4 linked regions of the Cricetulus griseus genome follow. The main gene of each other region encodes a partner of the protein of the gene in region 4 in a complex. Links are inferred from orthologs where the notes say so. Each region holds a gene or a part of one and is shown on either strand. Other genes may lie near its edges.

The links.
Region 1: the proteins of Kcnab2 (region 4) and Kcna3 are in contact, whole or in part, in a cryo-EM structure (PDB 7EJ2), measured with the Homo sapiens proteins. The link is inferred for Cricetulus griseus from reciprocal best matches to the Homo sapiens genes KCNAB2 and KCNA3. Residues at the interface, in NP_001186789.1 of Homo sapiens: Met196, Tyr199, Ser200, Arg203, Glu231, His234, Lys235, Ile236; in NP_002223.3 of Homo sapiens: Pro133, Met137, Phe140, Pro142, Leu143, Asn145, Tyr147.
Region 2: the proteins of Kcnab2 (region 4) and Kcna1 are in contact, whole or in part, in a crystal structure (PDB 1EXB), measured with the Rattus norvegicus proteins. The link is inferred for Cricetulus griseus from reciprocal best matches to the Homo sapiens genes KCNAB2 and KCNA1. Residues at the interface, in NP_059000.1 of Rattus norvegicus: Met196, Tyr199, Ser200, Arg203, Glu231, Lys235, Ile236; in NP_775118.1 of Rattus norvegicus: Glu37, Met70, Phe73, Asp74, Pro75, Leu76, Asn78, Tyr80.
Region 3: the proteins of Kcnab2 (region 4) and Kcna2 are in contact, whole or in part, in a crystal structure (PDB 5WIE), measured with the Rattus norvegicus proteins. The link is inferred for Cricetulus griseus from reciprocal best matches to the Homo sapiens genes KCNAB2 and KCNA2. Residues at the interface, in NP_059000.1 of Rattus norvegicus: Met193, Met196, Tyr199, Ser200, Arg203, Glu231, His234, Lys235, Ile236; in NP_037102.1 of Rattus norvegicus: Asp28, Glu33, Pro62, Met66, Phe69, Asp70, Pro71, Leu72, Arg73, Asn74, Tyr76.

Annotation. Positions count from the first base shown.
Region 1 is NW_023276806.1:50,097,472-50,102,832, reverse strand, and holds Kcna3 (potassium voltage-gated channel subfamily A member 3), read left to right. Parts: upstream 1-2,560; 5' UTR 2,561-2,660; coding exon 2,661-4,247; downstream 4,248-5,361.
Region 2 is NC_048601.1:19,841,693-19,846,610, forward strand, and holds Kcna1 (potassium voltage-gated channel subfamily A member 1), read left to right. Parts: upstream 1-2,320; coding exon 2,321-3,808; downstream 3,809-4,918. UniProt on the Homo sapiens protein: Voltage-gated potassium channel that mediates transmembrane potassium transport in excitable membranes, primarily in the brain and the central nervous system, but also in the kidney.
Region 3 is NW_023276806.1:50,031,357-50,036,533, reverse strand, and holds Kcna2 (potassium voltage-gated channel subfamily A member 2), read left to right. Parts: upstream 1-2,236; coding exon 2,237-3,736; downstream 3,737-5,177. UniProt on the Homo sapiens protein: Voltage-gated potassium channel that mediates transmembrane potassium transport in excitable membranes, primarily in the brain and the central nervous system, but also in the cardiovascular system.
Region 4 is NC_048595.1:3,941,180-3,946,461, forward strand, and holds part of Kcnab2 (voltage-gated potassium channel subunit beta-2), read left to right. Parts: intron 1-2,285; coding exon 2,286-2,523; intron 2,524-5,282.

The sequences.
Region 1 (5,361 bases), on a different chromosome or scaffold from region 4:
TAATTTCAGTATTAATTCCTGCAAAGGGAAGAATAAATCACCTTCTAAGTCAGACATGGAAGTGCATGAAACATTCGGTCTTTAAAAATAGGGTCTTTGCCTCTCAGTGAGCTATCCTTGCAGCATTTAGTCTTTCTTATTCTTAGATTTATAGGAATATCTGCTCAACTGCTCTGCTAATCACCAGCTAACACAGTGTATATAAAATAATGAGGTGGCCATCACACAACATCTTGCTCTGAACTTGTGTGTTTAAAATGGACTTACAGGGTTGCCCAGTGTTTTCATCTGACAATATACTTAACTCTGCAGTGACAAGCATGGGGCTGGATGTAAGGTTGAAGATAAAGAATGGTAAAGAATCCAGTGCTTCTTATACCCCAGCAAGTGCTGGCTGTAAAAAGCTGTAGGGTGACTATACTGCCTGCTCAGTTTCCCCTCACTCCTCGGCAACACGAATAAATAAATTACCCAGAGACTGATTATTGGCGTTCAAGCTGAAGATCTGGGAAGCAAGGCAGCCAACCTCCACCTCTAGATCAGGCTAAAAGGGCTGATCCACACATGAGCTCTTCACCAAATCTCAAACAGCTGCCTCTCCTCAGTGTGGCTGAAGAACAAATGCCTGAGACCTTGCTTCTGTCTTACATATTTCCCTAATGTTAGGATTAATGGTGTGAGCTATTATTCGCTTTTAGATTGGTTCACTCTTGTGTAGATCTGGGTGGCCTTGAACTCACAGAGATCTGTCTATCCTGAGTCCTAGGATTAAAGGTATGTACCACCATGTCCTATCTTCTGGCTGCTGGGAATAAAGGTGTGTGCCTGGCTTCTATGGCTTGTGGATGACTTTGCTTTCTGAATACTCAGGCAAGCTTTAATAAATCATAAACAATGTATCACCACACTCCTCATCCCAGGTATCACAGTGTGGTACTGAATTCAACAGAAAAAAAATGTGCCTGGAGCAGACAGAAATACATACAAAGCATCAATTGTTGGGGAATTCAACTCAACTATTGAGTTCCCATGATTCCCAAGGTGCGTTGAAGGTTGCTAAGAACAGAATTTGGGCAAGCCCATTCTATCATTGAGTTTGGTGGCTGGGAGAGGTGGTAGCAAAGAATGGCAACAAATCACTCTTACATCAAATTGAATCATCAGCTCACTTCCAGGAATGAGTAGATGTCTAGACGTCAATTCCTCTTTTGCAAATGATTGCAATGATTCAAAACAGAATTTTGTAATGCTAGTGCTTATACTTGGGGTACCTAAAATATCTGGTAACAGAAATTAGGCTTAAGCCTAATTAAGCAACCACAACAATTTGGAGAAAAAGTTTAAAGGGGGTAAATGTTTTCTCTAGGCCCAAATCAAGCAAGAGGGGAACAATGAAGGCTTTTCCACATTAGCAGCTAAAGCAAGTCCCACCACAAGGGCAGGTGGCATTGTATTAAATAAAATCTAGGTTCCAGCCTGCTCATGTCTGTCCCACAGCAGACAAATAATTGAGTTATCTAACCACACAGATGAGGTGTGATGGATTTTCTTTAACATTCCCCTTCTTATTTTCCTACTGAAAGTAAATTGGACTTTTAAACTCAGGCTGCCCTCGCTAATCCCAACCAGGAACTTAGTCCTGATTCTGTCCAGGGTGAACCAGCCTTTACAAAAGTGAAGTCTCTGAATGCCTTTAAGGACCCTTTCTTTAGACCCCTGTGAAGACTTCAGACCCTATGTACCCATTAATTCAGTTGGGCTTCCTGTCCAAACACAATCCTTTACAGCACCTAAACACGGGGTTCTAGCAATCTTCTACCCTCCAAAATCGGGATGCTGGCCCCAGACTCACCTCTTGCCCACGCTAACCTCTTAGCCTTCGCTCTCTCCTCCCACAACATTCTGGGTCAGGAGCCCTGGCACCTCCTGGCCCTCCTTCCACCTTTGTCTGCTCCCTACTCTCCTGGAACTTGCCCTTCCTCCTGCCCAGGCAAAGTGTGAAGGGCCAGGAGGCCTGAATCCGAGGGCCGAGGTGTGGTCCTTGAACAGATCCAACAACCCTGAGATTGGGACTCGGCCACGCGCGGGAAGGGAATGCACGCTGTCCAAAAGCAAGTGCAGCCCAGGAATGAGGAGGCCAAGCCCAAGCAGCTGGGTTTTTCCAGGGCCGGTCTGGCCGGGTAGCGAGAGGTTCAGGAGGGTCTGGGGAAGAGGGTGCAAATTGGAAGAGATCCAGTGACAAAGAACCGCAAGGAGCGCGGCCGGGAAGCGGGAGGCGGGGCGCGTGCGCGGTGGGCGGGAAACCCGGGGGCGGCGGCGAGGCGGGCGCGCGCCCCGCGGGGAGGGGTGCGGAGGAGGGAGGAGGCGTCTGGACCGTGCAGCCCCGCGCGCCGAGCCAGCTCCAGACAGAGCATCGCTGCAGCCGCCGCAGCAACAGGCGGCGGGCCGGGCTCGCGGGGCGGAGGCGGCGGTGGGGCGGGGAGCTCGAGGAGGAGCGACTCGGGGCCGGCCACCTCCTGCAAGGAAGAAGAGCACCGCCGCCTCCCGCGCTCGGCCACCGCAGCCCTCCACCCGCCACCGCGCCCACCCTGCGCAGGACCCCGCGAGCGGCGGGCGCGCGCACCCTGCAGAGCCCCGGCCGCGCCGAGCTGCCGCCAGACATGACCGTGGTGCCCGGGGACCACCTGCTGGAGCCAGAGGCGGCGGGTGGCGGCGGTGGGGACCCGCCTCAGGGAGGCTGTGGTGGTGGTGGTGGTGGCGGTGGCTGCGACCGCTACGAGCCGCTGCCGCCCGCGTTGCCCGCCGCGGGCGAGCAGGACTGCTGCGGGGAGCGCGTGGTCATCAACATCTCGGGGCTGCGCTTTGAGACGCAGCTCAAGACCCTCTGCCAGTTCCCAGAGACGCTGCTGGGCGACCCCAAGCGGCGCATGCGGTACTTCGACCCGCTCCGCAATGAGTACTTCTTCGACCGCAACCGACCCAGCTTCGACGCCATCCTCTACTACTACCAGTCCGGGGGCCGCATCCGCCGGCCGGTCAATGTGCCCATCGACATCTTCTCCGAGGAGATCCGCTTCTACCAGCTGGGCGAGGAAGCCATGGAGAAGTTCCGTGAGGACGAGGGCTTCCTGCGGGAGGAGGAGCGGCCCCTGCCCCGCAGAGACTTCCAGCGCCAGGTGTGGCTGCTCTTCGAATACCCCGAGAGCTCGGGGCCGGCCCGGGGCATTGCCATCGTGTCGGTGCTGGTCATCCTCATCTCCATTGTCATCTTCTGCCTGGAGACCCTGCCCGAGTTCCGCGACGAGAAAGACTACCCCGCCTCCCCGTCGCAGGAAGTGTTCGAGGCCACCAGCAACAGCACGTCGGGGGCCGCCTCTGGAGCCTCCAGCTTTTCGGACCCCTTCTTCGTGGTGGAAACCCTGTGCATCATCTGGTTCTCCTTTGAGCTGCTAGTGCGGTTCTTCGCTTGCCCCAGTAAAGCCACCTTCTCCAGAAATATCATGAACCTCATAGACATTGTGGCCATCATTCCTTATTTCATCACTCTGGGCACTGAGCTGGCTGAGCGACAGGGTAATGGGCAGCAGGCAATGTCTTTGGCCATCCTGAGGGTCATCCGCTTAGTAAGGGTCTTCCGCATCTTCAAGCTCTCCCGCCACTCCAAGGGGCTGCAGATCCTGGGGCAGACACTGAAGGCTTCCATGCGAGAGCTGGGGCTGCTCATCTTCTTCCTCTTTATAGGAGTCATCCTTTTCTCCAGTGCAGTCTACTTTGCTGAGGCAGACGACCCTTCTTCGGGTTTTAACAGTATCCCGGATGCCTTCTGGTGGGCAGTGGTAACCATGACAACTGTGGGTTACGGTGATATGCACCCAGTGACCATAGGAGGCAAGATTGTGGGCTCTCTTTGCGCCATCGCAGGTGTCTTGACCATTGCACTGCCAGTTCCTGTAATTGTTTCCAACTTCAATTACTTCTACCACCGGGAGACAGAAGGGGAAGAGCAAGCCCAGTACATGCACGTGGGAAGTTGCCAGCACCTCTCCTCTTCAGCTGAGGAGCTCCGAAAAGCCCGGAGTAACTCCACCCTGAGTAAGTCGGAGTATATGGTGATCGAAGAGGGGGGTATGAACCACAGCGCTTTCCCCCAGACCCCTTTCAAAACGGGCAACTCCACTGCCACTTGCACCACGAACAATAATCCCAACTCCTGTGTCAACATTAAAAAGATATTCACTGATGTCTAATATACGATTCAGTTGACAAACTATGCCCAGTATTATGTGGAACGTGCCCCCTTGGTCTGTGTGTGCCCTTGATTTATACATTTCCAGACCATTCATCAAGGAACGGACGTGAAGAGGTGGAAAAGCACACTTCATCCTCCCTCTCCCTATTGCTTCATACTGTGTTTAAACAGGTGCCTGTTCTGCAAGTGGGCTGCATTCTCTCAGCTCTCTCTCTCTCTCTCTCTCTCTCTCTCTCTCTCTCTCTCTCTCTCTCATTCTCTCTCTTTCTCTGTGTGTGTCTCTCTCTGTCTCTCTTCTCTCTCTCTCTCTCTCTCTCTCTCTCTCTTCTCTCTCTCTCTCTCTCTCTCTCTCTCTCTCTCTCTCTCTCTGTCTCTCTCTCTCTCTCTCTCTCTCTCTCTCTCTCTCTCTCTCTCTCTCTCTCTCTCTCTCTCTCTCTCTCTCTCTCCTCTCTCTCTTTCCCCCGTCTTTTAATTTTGTAACCAACAAGCTTACATTAAAGCTTGGTTTCTAGTGCACGCCCTATGAAAAACTACATCCTGGGAGGAAATGAAACTAAAGTGTCAGAGTAACTGTTTAACCTCAAAATCAAAAGATAGTTGTTTCTTTACTAAGTAAAGGAGGCAGAACTTAAATGATGCTCCTGTTTGGTGGACCTTTCATTGTTATTTGACTGTTTAGTTTAATTATCCAGCCTTTGGATATGTGGACAGAAAGTCTAAAGCAATGACTTATAAACCCACCATGAATTTATTTTGTTTTTGACTGGTCTTTCAGTTTGAATCTCTCCTCTAAGAATTTGAGGTTCACAATAACTTTGAACCAAAAGGGAAATGGCCCAAATGTCCTGATCTGACTATTAACCCTTTGGAGTTTGCAAAGAATTTTTAAAGTATTACACACGAATTTCCAGTGAAGTTGCGAGTACAAGCCCCAACCAACATCTACAAAAGTCTAGAAACTCGTTTTCAGTGCTGCCAAGAGAAACAACAAAAATTCCTAATGCATGTGAGAGATAAGCTTATGTGGTGTCACAAGAAGATTAAAGTGGCAGACACCCCTTCCAGCGGAAGTTACTAATTCGGACCTGACTGATGCAGTTCCCATAGCAACC
Region 2 (4,918 bases), on a different chromosome or scaffold from region 4:
GCTCAGGCGGCCTTGCGCCTCTGTAGGGCCCCTTGCACGAATGTGTCTAGAGCCTAGAAACTGGTCCTGAGGGGCAGAGGGCCACTGGGTGGGTGGGTGGGTGGGTGGGGGTGCGGGAGGCAGGACTGAGGGTGGAAGACAAACGGGCGACTTGCTTCTCCTCACATTTGTTCCAATTAGCACCAAGTTGGCAGACAACCCACAAACCCACGATGCCTTCGCCCCCCCCCCTTCCCTGCGTTTCAGAATATTCTGACTGTAAGGAAACTTCAGCTCCCTCTGGTAGGCTCAAAAGGAACAGACACTTGGCACCACCTTCTCGCAGTAACATTGCGTGGATGAAACACGGGGATCCTTAACTGCAGCGCTCTAACCAAACTCTGTACCCTTCAGAGTGCGGGTAGCGTGGAGGTAGGGGGTGCGGGGTAGTAGGGTGGGCGGGACAGAGGGGCCCCTGGAGGAGGGGAGGGATGGCGCCGAGAAGCGGGATGCCGGAGGATTGCTTGTGTGACTGCATCTGAAGCAGACTGGTCCAAGGAGTTCTGCCAGCGACATCGCCGCCTGCATTGCGTCGGACCTGACCATCTCCAATGTGAAATTCCCGGGGAAGGTCGCGCGCTCAGCTAAGGGCTGTGCGTGGGCGGGGCTGCGGGCCACCGAGGAAGAGGAGTTGGTGGTGGGCTTTTCGAGGAGGAGAGGAGGGAAAAAGAAGAAAAGCTATGCTGGCAAGGATGGGAACTGAATGACAACCCCCCTCTGCCAAACCACCCCCTCATATTTTCCATCTACCTCCTCGCTCCTGCCCTCCCCCGCCCTCCCCAACCCACGCCCTGGTGGGCCAATCGCTGCTCCGCATTCCAGGCGCTTTCTCAGGTTTCTGCTGATCTTGCAGCGCCCAGAAATGGACCGAGCGGACCTGCGGCCGCATGCTCCCTACTCCACTCCGATCTGCTGAAGGCTCCCGGCGCGCTGCAGAGCGAGGTCCGTGCGGTGGTGCGGAGACCCGATAGCCATGTAGAGCCAGGCTTTGGGCCGCCTGCCTCTCTCGGGATCGAATCAAGGGCTCCTGTAGTGTTCAGAGGGGGCGAGAGTGCTGCTTATCGCCATTTGCTTGGGTGACTCGGGAGAGGGTGGCCTTTTTGCTTTTCCATCCCGCATCCTCCGGAACTCTCTGCAGCGGAGAGAGGACCGAGCCCCCAGGTTGCCTGCACCATGTGAGGATGGGGGCAGGGAACGGACATTTCCTCCATAGCTGCTCAGTAAAACGATCGGACCCCTGAGAGGAGAAGGACGCGGACCACGAGGGGCCCAGTGCCTCTCGGATGCTGCTGTGGAGGTGGCTCGCTCCGACTGCTGCAAAGGAGACCTGCCGCATTCCGACTCTCCGCCGCCGACTCAGCACCGCCCCTGCGCCAAGCCGGCCCGCCAGGTAGGGAGCTCCACAGTTCCGGGGCTGCAGAATCCGAGGTTAGGATGACAGGGTGGGGGAGGTTGAGGGTGAGAAGTTGCTGCCCAGGACCCGGAGCTCCCCCAGCATCTCTAAGCGCTTTTCCGATCTCCAGTTTTTAACGAAGTTGTAAACGAATCGGCTGCTGGGCAGGGGGGGAAAGTGGGATGGAAGATTTCCAAACTTGGATTTCTGGGTGTCTGTTGTGTGTCTGTCTGTGCGTGTGTGTTAACCCCAGTAAAAGTCCGGTGTGTTCTACAAAAGCTAGTCGTCTGTGCTCTTCGGTGTCTATAGGTTCGTCCCATAGGAATGCTTCTGATTTTCTACCCTGGTATCACTTTTTATTTCTCTGCAGCGTCCATCGATCGCCCCGTGGGAGCTTAGAAGGCGGCAGGCGAAGAGGGGTAGGGGGGGAGAGCCAAGGAGCAGCAAAGGGGGTGACAGGCGTGGGGATCTGCTGAGTTGGCACTGCACCGGGTCCTAGGAAGGCTGCAGGAGGGGAGGGGTGCATTGGCGAGCCCCGGAGAGATGGCAGGTGTGCGTTAAGGCAGTCAGAGCAGGAAGAAAAAAACCCACCAACCCCAAAAACAGAGCACACCCCCAAAACCCAAACCTCTCGAAAAAGCCTCACTGGGGGCCCTCAGGCGAGAGGGCTTTCCAAATTGGGTAAAAGGCAGAGTGGAGGAGGGGGAGGTGGTAACTAGCAAAGTTGCAGACCTCTGAACCTTCTGGCCCCGAAGCCCCTCCCCGTGAGCGTGGGGGAGACTCACTCTCCGGTGGGGGGGCCGGTTGGGTCCCCCCCACCCCTCTTCCTTCGCTCCTTCACACCCCGGGCTCTCTCCTGGCCTCCCACCCCTGCACTCTGCTTCCATCATGACGGTGATGTCGGGGGAGAATGCGGACGAGGCTTCGGCCGCTCCGGGTCACCCCCAGGATGGCAGCTACCCACGGCAGGCGGACCACGACGACCACGAATGCTGCGAACGCGTGGTGATCAACATCTCCGGGCTACGCTTCGAGACGCAGCTCAAGACCCTGGCACAGTTCCCCAACACGCTGCTGGGCAACCCAAAGAAACGCATGCGCTACTTCGACCCCCTAAGGAACGAGTACTTCTTTGACCGCAACCGGCCCAGCTTTGATGCCATCCTTTATTATTACCAGTCAGGGGGCCGCCTGCGCAGGCCGGTCAACGTGCCCCTGGACATGTTCTCCGAGGAGATCAAATTTTACGAGTTGGGCGAGGAGGCCATGGAGAAGTTCCGGGAAGATGAGGGCTTCATCAAGGAAGAGGAGCGCCCCCTACCTGAGAAGGAGTACCAGCGCCAGGTGTGGCTGCTCTTTGAGTATCCGGAGAGCTCAGGGCCTGCCAGGGTTATCGCCATTGTATCGGTCATGGTCATCCTCATCTCCATAGTCATCTTTTGCCTGGAGACTCTCCCTGAGCTGAAGGATGACAAGGACTTCACGGGCACCATCCACCGCATCGACAACACCACAGTCATCTATACTTCCAACATCTTCACAGACCCCTTCTTCATTGTGGAGACCTTATGTATCATCTGGTTCTCTTTCGAGCTGGTGGTGCGCTTCTTTGCCTGCCCCAGCAAGACGGACTTCTTTAAGAACATCATGAACTTCATTGACATCGTGGCCATCATTCCTTATTTCATTACCCTGGGCACGGAGATAGCTGAGCAGGAGGGGAATCAGAAAGGCGAGCAGGCCACTTCCCTGGCCATCCTCAGGGTCATCCGCTTGGTAAGGGTGTTCAGAATCTTCAAACTCTCTCGCCACTCTAAGGGCCTCCAGATCCTGGGCCAGACCCTCAAAGCTAGCATGAGGGAGTTAGGGCTGCTCATCTTTTTCCTCTTCATTGGGGTCATCCTGTTTTCTAGTGCAGTGTACTTTGCCGAGGCGGAAGAAGCTGAGTCGCACTTTTCCAGTATCCCCGATGCTTTCTGGTGGGCGGTGGTGTCCATGACCACTGTGGGATACGGTGACATGTACCCTGTGACAATTGGAGGCAAGATCGTGGGCTCCTTGTGTGCCATCGCTGGTGTGCTGACAATTGCCCTGCCCGTACCTGTCATTGTGTCCAATTTCAACTATTTCTACCACCGAGAAACTGAGGGGGAAGAGCAGGCTCAGTTGCTCCACGTTAGCTCTCCTAACTTAGCCTCTGACAGTGACCTCAGCCGCCGCAGCTCCTCTACTATCAGCAAATCTGAGTACATGGAAATCGAAGAGGATATGAACAATAGCATAGCCCATTACAGACAGGCCAATATCAGAACTGGTAACTGCACCACAGCTGACCAAAACTGCGTTAATAAGAGCAAGCTCCTGACCGATGTTTAAAAAGCAACAGGCAAGCAAGCAAAAAGCCCCAAACAAAAGCCCTGGTGACTCATGTCCCGCTCTGTAGATACTTCACTAAACATTAGTCTTTGAATGCTTTATTTAACTGTCAATGCATTGTTGCATTGTGAATCTGGGGAGTGGCAAACCTGAGGCTTTCAAGATCCATTAAAAAAAACCCCTATTTTCATTTTATTAAAAATGAGAAAAGAAAGTATTTTCTAAAACTGGCTTCAGTGCTGTCCATTAAGGAGTCCATGTGAAATAAGACTCATGTTTCCCTGTACTGAAATATTTCCAATCTTTTGCCATAGGCTTTTTTTTTTTTAAAAAAAGAACACCTAAAAATCAGATGACCACTTAGGAATATAAGTTCAAATTTGCATGGGACTCCACCCTCAAATTTTTGCACACTGCACACCACATTTCAGATAGTGTACTCTGTGGAACACGTAACAGCCTCAGTGGTCAGTGAACAAATGCTTTTCTTTTGATCAACTGAATTGCATATAAGGCAACCAAAATCAGACTAATTAAGACTGGTTCCCAAAGCACCTTATACATCTGTTATTGGTCCCAGTCTGTTGGGATTTTCCATCTGCCCCATTCTCCTAAATACAGTCTATTCTCTAAGAAAAGGGTAACTTGATTAAACAAGTTGATTCATCTGTAGGGCTGCTAAGTTCTCTCAACTGCAGATGATCCAAATATAGGTCTTTTCTCACTAATCCTGCACCCTGACCCCTGACCTTCAGAAGTGGATGTAAAAACTTACCATCTTACCCTCCTTATTGCAAGAGCACAAGAGTTAAATGGTAAGCATGTTTGAATCTGATAACATTTATTTTATAATAGCATGCCGAGACAGTTAACCCAGACAATAGGGAATAAGCTTAAGTTGAAATTGACTCTTCTAAATATAGGCCCTTTTTCATTTGCATTCACCAAAAGTGCACTCCTTCATTTATTAACTCTTTTCTTAGCAACTAAAGTACTGTATTTAAGTGCATATGTTAGTCAGATGGGAAGAATCCCCTTTTGGAGCTCAAAGCATGTCCTCTTAGTCAGCATTATGGCCTATTTGATTAAGATGTACCTTGACTTAATTAA
Region 3 (5,177 bases), on a different chromosome or scaffold from region 4:
TTCCGACCCCTGCTGTCAACCTGGAGGGTTATGGACCTGCTCCGGCCGCAGCGGGGGGGGGGAGGGAAGACTTGCCCCTTCAGAAGAGTGCATGGAATAGGCTCGGGGACCCTGTGGTCTGTGCGTGACATAGGGCGGAGGGCGCAGATTGGAGGTGGCTGGTGATGATGGGAAGTGCAGCTGACTGCATAGCCATGTCTGGTAAATAGTGGGTGGGTAGGACGCGAGTCACTTGGTCCTCCTGGTTGCATTTGCCTCTTGGCAACGGAGTAAAATAGGCTTTTCTGCAGTCGCTGTTTTTCCACTTGGCCTGGGTGGTGGGCTGCCGCGGAACCCCCTTGCCTAAGAGGAAGCTAGATCTGGGGCAGCTGCCTGGCGAAGCCTCCTCTGCACCTTTAGAGTTCAGGCTCCTGTGTTTTCCAGACGAGCCCTCGATAGTCCCTAAGCTGGACCTCGCTGGCACTAGCTAGGCTGCCCTCGGGCCCGCAGCGGGAGCCCACCGCACTGCGCAGGAAGGGGTTAAGGTGGTACACTCAAGCCGGCGGATAGCTGCAGGCTCCGGTCAGCCGCGCGGATTCCGGCGGGAGCGCGCCCGGCGGAATCCCGGCTGGAGCTCCTGGCGATGCGAGAGGGCCTAGACCCCTCCCCGCCCTGGGGCCAGCGGGATTGGGTCGGCGGGGGGCCAGCCCGGAAGCCAGCTTCCTCTAGGCTCCCTCTCTCCAAGAAGCCAATCCGCCTTGCAGCCAGCCAGGCAGTTTGAGCGTTTGTTCTGTGCTTCCCTGCGGAGATGTGAGTGATTTTCTCTTGGGAAGAAATCGGTGGTCCAGCGCCTGCCCAGTTCAAATGCCACCCAATCCAGAGCAAGGCCTGAGGCTCAGGGATCCCCTGAGGCCCAGGGATCCTGGAGGGAGAGTAAGTTCAGCGACCATAGCTATCCAGCATTCTACTGAGGCGATCTGGCTGTGTGCAGGGTCTCTCGAGCTGGGCAAGAGTGTGTGTTGGAGGAGGAAGGATTGCTTCTTCATGGGACATAGCTAAGGTCAGAGAGGAAAAGCCTCCCCTTGGGGGATAGGTGTTCTGACACCAGGGTGGAGAAAGCTGGGTGGCTCCTGGTGGCAGCAGAGGACTAAGCGGAGAAAAGTGCTTCAAGCTGATGGGAAAGGCTTACCCAGGAGAGGCTAGAAAGGTACAGGGCAGTTCTCTGTCACTAGCACCATGGAAAGTAGGCACGGGGGCTTGCAACTTGCAGAGAGGGTATCTGCCAGAGTCCTTCTAAGTCTTGGTTCCAGCTGCCTGAAAGCCCTGGTTTCCACCTTGCTGCTGTGTTTTCCAGGCAACGTCACACCTCCTGAGGACAGCCAGGAGTTCTCTGGCTTTTGCTGAGCTGTGCATCTTACCTCCTTCCTTCCAAAGACTTCAGACCCAGGCTTCACTCTTCTCAAGTCCTGAATGCCCCTTGCCAAGCATCCAACTGTCCCTCCAGCCCTATCCAGTCCTAGAGCACACCTCCAGGATCTGGAGCCTGCCCTCCTGCTCAGAATGACTCACCATTATTTCCAGCCCAAGTGAGAAGATGTGACAGGGAGTTGAGCTGCCTGTTTGGGTATCTAGGATTCCTGTGGCATCTGACCTGCTCTTCAAGGAAGAGAACCTCAGGCTTCTCCTGCCTGGACAGGTAAACCAATAAACCAATAACAGCCATATAGAGTTATTGAGGGTGATATCAGGGATAAAGACCCTGGACCCAAACACCCTACCATAAATACTTCCTGTAGTGCAGGTGTTGGCAAGACATTAGCACAGTGCCTGGCAGAGGGCTCTCTTCTTGCCTCCCCCCTATGGAGCTGGAGCCTGTCTAGGTCACCTGCCCCCAGTGCAGGCCATTCTATATTTGAAAGATTGTTCCCTGAACCCCACTGATCCCTAGACAAGTTGCAAAGTAGCTACAGTGGCAGGGATGGTGATATGGTCTTGTTTCTGAACTCTTAGCTAAGATGGGGGACACCAAGTACAGTTCATGTCAGGTTGCCAGTGACTGGTGGTCTCACATCCTTACCTGCCTTTGTCTTTCAGCCAAGCGAGGCTGTGTCTCCAGCTCTCAGAGGGCTCTGGGGCTCTCCTGCAGGAGCACAGACTAATGCTTCTGTGTTTTCTGGGGCCCAGTTACCAGCACCCTGAGCCCCCTGCTGCAAGCAGCTGGAAGGCATAGAGTAAAGTACTCTCCTCAGCCCCAATTATGACAGTGGCTACCGGAGACCCAGTGGATGAGGCTGCTGCCCTCCCTGGACACCCACAGGACACCTATGACCCAGAGGCAGACCACGAGTGCTGTGAGAGGGTGGTGATCAACATCTCAGGCCTGCGGTTTGAGACTCAGCTAAAGACCTTAGCCCAGTTTCCAGAGACCCTCTTAGGGGACCCCAAGAAGCGGATGAGGTACTTCGATCCCCTCCGAAATGAATACTTTTTTGATCGCAACCGCCCTAGCTTCGATGCCATTTTGTACTACTACCAGTCTGGGGGCAGGTTGAGGCGACCTGTGAATGTGCCCTTAGATATATTCTCTGAAGAAATCCGGTTTTATGAGCTAGGAGAAGAAGCAATGGAGATGTTTCGAGAGGATGAAGGCTACATCAAGGAAGAAGAGCGTCCTCTGCCTGAAAATGAGTTTCAGAGACAGGTGTGGCTTCTCTTTGAATACCCTGAGAGCTCAGGGCCTGCCAGGATTATAGCCATTGTATCCGTCATGGTCATTCTGATCTCAATCGTCAGCTTCTGTCTGGAAACCTTGCCCATCTTCCGGGATGAGAATGAGGACATGCATGGTGGTGGGGTGACCTTCCACACCTACTCCAACAGCACCATTGGGTACCAGCAGTCCACATCCTTCACCGACCCTTTCTTCATCGTAGAGACTCTCTGCATCATCTGGTTCTCCTTTGAGTTTCTGGTGAGATTCTTTGCCTGTCCCAGCAAAGCTGGCTTCTTCACCAACATCATGAACATTATAGACATTGTGGCTATCATCCCTTACTTTATCACCCTGGGGACAGAGTTAGCTGAGAAGCCAGAGGACGCCCAGCAAGGCCAGCAGGCCATGTCACTGGCCATTCTCCGTGTCATCCGTTTGGTAAGAGTCTTTAGGATTTTCAAGTTGTCCAGACACTCCAAAGGTCTGCAGATCCTAGGTCAGACCCTCAAAGCCAGCATGAGGGAATTGGGCCTCTTGATATTCTTCCTGTTCATTGGGGTCATCCTCTTCTCTAGTGCTGTCTATTTTGCAGAAGCTGATGAGAGAGATTCCCAGTTCCCCAGCATCCCGGATGCTTTCTGGTGGGCAGTCGTCTCCATGACAACTGTAGGCTATGGAGACATGGTTCCAACTACCATTGGGGGAAAGATAGTGGGATCCCTGTGTGCAATTGCAGGTGTGTTAACCATTGCCTTACCAGTCCCTGTCATAGTGTCTAATTTCAACTACTTCTACCATCGGGAGACAGAGGGAGAGGAGCAGGCCCAGTACTTGCAAGTGACAAGCTGTCCAAAGATCCCGTCCTCCCCTGACCTAAAGAAAAGTAGAAGTGCCTCTACTATAAGTAAGTCTGATTACATGGAAATACAGGAGGGAGTAAACAACAGTAATGAGGACTTTAGAGAGGAAAACTTAAAGACAGCCAACTGTACATTGGCTAACACCAACTATGTGAATATTACCAAAATGTTAACTGATGTCTGATGAAACCTATTGATGTGCTCACAGCTCAACAGGACTAATGCAGATGTTGCATAATAGCCTGCATTGTAGTCAGTGTTCCACAGTGTGCATCTGGTTCTGCATGGAAAGCAATAGTCGTGCAAGTGACTTTTGACCTTTTGATTTTTGATTTAGAACACAGAGTATTTATCATGGCTTTCATGAAATCTTCATCACTGACTTACAGGGTTCCAAAGATGGGAGTCACCTATGGAGCCAGTCTCAGACTGGAATAATGCAGCCCCCTCATAGCCCACACACCACCCATCGTAATCACCATCCTAGCTTCCTAACTAAATGCAAGCACACCTGGCGGGTGCATTCTCCCTACCACACCCTACTATCCCACTTTAGCCCACCTGTCCCCTCACAGAGGAACACCATCATGGCTGAGTTTGAGAGTTCTGGAGACTACTCCAAAGGTCATTCCCATTTTTGCATTGAAAAGAACAGACAGTCCTGTGTGTTAGAATTACTTTCTGTGTCATAGGCTGAGGTTTGTGAATTGCAGTTGCCAACTAGATGCTCCAGAGGCTTCTGTTTCGTAACGGAAATGCTGCATTCTGCTTTTTCTCTGCAGTATCAATGTGAGGAAAGCCCAGAGGGTGGGGGAGGGACAGTTAATACGACCAAATATGAGTTGTCAAGTTTTACATTTGTTCCCTTAGGCCTATGGGGAGAAGCTACCTAATTTTGGGACTTCTCAGTTTCAGATACCATTTTGCAAGCCTCAGGGTCACAGAACATGTTTGATTTCTTCTTTTACTCTGGAATTTGCAGACATATTCTTTCTTGATGGTGTGGCCCAGCTCCACTACACTGCAGTGGAGTATACCAGTCATGCAATAGAGCTGCATGGGTGTTCACTGCATGAAATCTCAATATTTAAAACACAGAAGATAACCTATTTTCCTAGTATCCTATTCAGTATTCATACATAGAGTATTAATAGCCTTGGGATGGTATTGAACTGGGTTTTCCCCCCACAGAAGGCAAAAGCCCTCCATCAGGGAAGCAAATAGACTATTTGGAATGGGGAACCAAAACTTCTGGCTGGCCCTCCAGCCCGCCCATCTCTGTTCTTTCAATGGGAGCAAAGACCCTGCCACACCAGGAGAATTGAACAGAAAAGTCAGAGTCTAAACACTCAGATGACTGAAACTTAAGAATTAGTCTAGTCAAGGGCATGACTACAAAGCTTACCAGGGCATTGATCCTGAGGACAGGCAGATCTGTGGGTTCAATGTATATAAATATATATCAGCTATCTATCTTTCTCATGTGTTCCTCTAGTAAGCTATAGAAAAATTGCATTTGAACATTGTATAAGCTTATGCAATATTTTGACACAGGGCAATTTATGCATGTGTTTGACTATGTGCACTAGAATATATATATACATACACAAATGTGTGTATATGTA
Region 4 (5,282 bases):
CCACTTCAGGTGGCTCATGGCCACCTGTAACTCCAACTCCGGGTATCCCACAAATTGGTATCCTCTGACCCCTGGGGGGGCACCTACACACATGTGCACTTACCCACATACAGATACACGTGCATACACATAATTAAAACTAAAAATACGTCGTTTTTAAAACCACCTCTGGGAACCACTCCAGAGCCACTGAAACAGGAGGTCTGAGCCAGGTGCAACAGGGTGGGTCCCCTGAGTTCCTGACCAGGTGTTGGCCATGCCAAGCACACAGCGGTGCTTAAAACTCTAAGAAATAAAGGGTGTGTATTAAAAGGTCCCATGAGTCATTAGCCAGAGTTAAGTTCTGTTTTCTCTACTTGGGCTCAGGCTTTGCATATTCAGGGGAGGCTACAAAGCTAAGATCTGTCCCTGCTCAATCCAAAGCAAGGGCACAAATGCATGCTTTGCGTTCTGCAGCCACATGCTCCTTGAAAGGCCAGGCCGTCCCCCTGTGGGTCCCAGGCACCAGGCTGCAAGAAATTTAACTGCCCTCTCCCAACCTCTCTTGCACCCAATTTGCTTGAAAAGGGTCCCAGGCTATCTGGAGCACAGGGCCTCAGGCCAACAAACCCTGCTGCCTAAGTGGGCTGCTGGCAGGAGGAACAGAGCTAGGTCTGTGCTGGCTTCCGTAGGCGGCGCCTGTGTGACCTTCCAGGACATCCTTGGTAAAGGCACCAACTCTATCCTCCCAACTGCTGTGCCCAGGTCCAGTTCTACCCTCGGGGACTGGGTCCTCCTTTTGCATTAGGCCTGAGCTCATGGGGGTCTAAGGTTTTGCTGGCCTGTGGAGTAAGCATACAGGGAGGAGGGGCTACACTATAGGGTCATGTGGCTGATTCCCACCATGGGAAGCCAGAGTTTCTGTGACAAGATCTTGCCAGTGCATACCGTTTGTTCATTGGGTTTTTTTGTTTGTTTGGTTGCTTGCTTGCTTGCTTGCTGGCTTTTGATCTTCAGCACTTAACCAGGTTCAGGCTTTGAGTACTTTGCCTGCCAAGCTTGGCCTAGAACACATCTTCAGATCTTTATTCCTGAGGGTGGTGAAGTCTGAGAGGCTGCCCAGTGAGCCTAAGGTGTCACTCTTATCAGCTGTCCCCAAAGGTGGAACACAGGCTTGGAGGTGGCTCAACCAGTGCCTGAGGTGTAGGACCTGAGTTCAGATCTCCAGGTGTAGCCACATACAAAGCCAGGCGTGGTGGCGTGTGCCCCAGTGCTTGGAGAAGGGGTCAAAGACAAGTGGATCCCTGAGACTGGATAGCCAGCCAGCCTAGCCGAATCAGTGAGCTCTAGGTTCAGTGAGAGACCTTCCTTATGCTAAGGATGGGTATGGTAGGGTAGCCTAGGTCATTCATTCATTCATTCATTCATTCATTCATTCCAGAAGACGGGTGCCCGATGTAAAATAAGTACTAACCTGTACTGCTCGGTCCCTTGGTGTCTTTGACCCGGCCTCTTTCCTGGGTCGTCATGTCACAGTGGTTGCTTTATGTCCCCTTTCCTGGTACCTTGGCCCTGAGCAGATAGAGATGAACACTAGCTCCTGACACACACACACACCTGAGCCAACGTTGCCTGCCCAGCTTGTGGCTGCAGGTCAGCCTGGAGCTGCCAGCACCAGCCCCTAGGGACCAGCAGGGCAGGTGGTTGTGCACCCTGCTCATGAATAATGACTCCAGCACTGCCTCTCGCTGGCCACTCACTGGCTCAGCAGGAGCCTCTGGCACCCCATGTGCAGAGCCAGGAGCCAGGCAGGAGGAACTGGAGAAGCAGCTGCTCCCTGAGACCCCCCAGAGCGGCCACCCCACGGAATACATCCAGCAGCGAGGTCATGAAGAAGGGATTCCACTCCTGTTAGAGGAAGGCGACTGTGCCCATCAGTCGTGGGTCCTGTGCCGCCCAGTCCAGAAGTGCACTCTTGGAGACTGCCGGGGACGTGGAACAGCCAGGACCAGAGCAGGGTGGCACAGGGAAAGCCAGGAGGGAACGGGGGTGGGGATGTGAGGCATGGCTCCTCCCTGCTGGACCTCCAGCTCCCCGCTCCATCTTCGACTCCTCTCAGACAAGGGCTCATCTAGCATCATCTGGAAATTTGATGCCCTCCACTCGGCTGCACAGGCTGGTCCTCTCTTGCCCTCAGAAATCCTCTCTCTGAGCGCGCTCCCCGCCACTTTTTCACCTCCGGGGATAAAGTCTCATCAGAGACAGGGAAGGACTCCTAAGGAGCCAGTGACTTCTGAATCCGGCAGGAGCTGAGCCCGGCCTCAACATGCAGGTGTCCTTTGTGTGCTCGGAGCACAGCCTCAAGACACGCAGCCCTGAAGATCGTCTGGGCCGCACGGCAGCCGGCAGTCCCAGCCCGGGTACTCGTGGACGTTTCCGGGCCGTGGCTATGGTCGCCCGGAGCCTGGGACAGCTGTCCGTGCAGAGTGCCCCAAACAGCAACGACACCAGCACCAGCGTGAAGCAGCCAGGGATGAAATATAGGTAGGCTGAGCAGCCAGTTCTGTGGGGAGGGGACTGGCCTTCCCACATTTCTGCAAATCTCGCCAAAAGACAGCTGGGGCAGTTTGTACAGGGGGTCTCTTAGCCCTGGTAGACTTGCTAAAAAGTAAGTTGAGACTTGATCAAGTCCAAGTCTCTTCTCCTTGGCTCCAGAGGAGGGTGGTATATAGTCACCGTCTTCCTTCTCTGTGTTTTTATCTCTTTTCTGGACTCAGATCCTATAGTAAGTCACCTCATCAGACGTCAGTCACTGTTTGACCCCAGGGCATCAGCCATACCCCACTCCCTGCTACCCCCCATTTCTGCTAAGATCACAGGTCCTTCTCGCTCCCAGGTAAGACTCAGAGCCCTAGGACCTGAGCAACTGGGCACCTGAAGAATATGCTCTGAGGAAAGGGGGATGGGGCCCCGCTCCATGTGGAGTCTCCAGGGAAAGGGATCTTCCTCGGGTTTGTGCAGGCTGAGCAGGTCAAGGGCATGCTCTGGCACCCAGGCAGCCTATTGGGAAGGGCTTCTTGAAGCTGAAGTGGGAGCAGTTAGTTCCCAGTGACCTCGGACAGTCCAAGCACGGGCGGTCCCCGCAGACTGCAGGATGGTCCCCTAAGTTCCTAGCTGGTATCACGATGAGCTTAAACCTCCCTAGGACCAGATATATAGGAGCCCCCTTCCCTGAGGCTGAGGCTGCATCATGGTAAGCGCTGGCATGAGGCTGGGGTCCTGCATCTGCACTCAAACCTCCTGGCCTCTCCAGGTCCTCGGGATGTTAGGTGTTCTTCAGCAATCTTGGGTAAAGAACTCTTTTTCTGTCCTATGAGCTTGGTGGGGACAATCAGAATGGAATTCTTTGTGCTGGATAAACTCTCTGTGGTGTGTATCTTTGTTTCGGCAACCATTAAAAGCTAGGGCTAAATAGGAGTATGTGTGTATATGTGTATGTACATATGTGTGTATGTATGTATGTATGTATGTATGTATGTATTTGTTGAGATTCTTGTTACCTGGTATGACTTTGAAGTCAGAGATTTGCCAGGACTGAACACTAGTGTATCTGTTTCCACACATGTAGAGCTCTAAGTGAAAGGAAAAGTGGATCTGAAGAGCCCAAGTGCTCCCAATGATCATGTGTGCATAGTGTTCATGCGCATGTCTGTGTGTGTATGTTCCTGCATGTGTGTCTGTGTGCATGTGTGTCTGTGTATCTGTGTGCATGCGTCTGAGTGTATACCCATGTGCGTCTATGTGCACACATGCCTATATTTGTGGTTTCGTACTTGTGTCTGTGTGCGTGTACGTGTGCGTGTGTGTGTGTGTGTGTGTGTACATGCATACACTAAAAACAGGAATGGTGAGACCCAGCAGTGAAAGGCTTTCAGTCTGGGGACCTGGGTTCAAATCCCAGCCCCAGCTCTTCTCAGATGCAGTGCCCCATCTGTGGAATGACAGAGTAGGGCCTTCCCCCAGAGCAGGACCTGGTTGTCTGTTCTTGATGTCATCTGGAGGGATGGGGACCATACCCCTGTAAAGGATGTGCAGCTTTCTAAAGCAGAAAGAACAGATATGTAACACAGGGTCCACGGGTCCCTTTAAAGAGCCACTCTGCTATCGGCCCCCGTGGGTATCAGCCTCACAAGTGGCCACACAGTGACTGCCTCAAGGCCACATCCAACATGTTAGTTAGGGCCATGGGGACCAAGGATGGGCTGATCCTGGCACGTCCACCTCCCCGTCCCCACAGACACTCCGGGCATACTTGTCCATTGAAGCTTCGCAGCTCTTGCCTTGCTTGGGGATGAGGGTCTGGTCTTGAACGTGTACCTGCTCATTTCCCAATGGTACCAAAATCGTTGTCCCTCAGCTAACACTCCCTTGGGACTCCATTCTAGGCCAAAGATAAAGACAGGAAGGGCTCAGGCTTGACCTTGGGCATCCAGAGTCTGGGAGCAGGGAAGACCTGTGCATAGCTCCACACCCAGTACAGGAGACCAAGCTGTCAGGAGAAAGATGCCACCAGAACCCCGGTCCCTCTCACTCCTTAGCCATAGTGAGAGTAGAGCGCCTTGCCCTTACTGGAGCCAGCCTTTGTCCTCCTCCCTGGCAGCTGAAATGAAAAGCCCAGAACTCTTTTTTAAAGACTTTCCTGGGGCCTTGCCTCCCAGACCCTTCCTGAAGCCTGAGGCACAGCTGTTGGAGCTGGAGTCAATCTGCATTGCCTCTGGCCAAGGTGATGCCTGAGAGGCCTCCAAACCTCAGGAGAGAGACAAAAAAACACTGAGAAAGGCTTAGGGGCTTTGACCAATTCTCTTATAATTGCATCAGGTTTTAATTAAAGAAAGGGAATATGTAGATTATTCTTCCATTCTGCAGTTTGGGCAGACAGCGTGGTAAGAGCCACCATGCAGGCCTGGCTCTGTGATACTCCCTGCCCACTCTCTGAAGCCCTGCATATACAGCTTTCACCCTGGAGGTGACTGTCCCCTCCGGAGGCCGGGCAGCAGATGGCAGGACCAATGCCGTCATTTAATGAGAAACAAGTTGAGCAGGGTAATTACAGCATGGAGCAGTGCCCCACTTTTGTAAAAGTGTCCCTAAGGACGGCAGATGAGGACACTACGCGTAGCCACACTCCCTGTCCCCACCCAGGCACAGGAGAAGAGAGAGGCCTTTTGGGAAATTCATCTGTTTCTTGACCACCCACAACTCTTCAGCCACAGGCACAGGTGGGCCCAGCCTCTTGTTTTGAA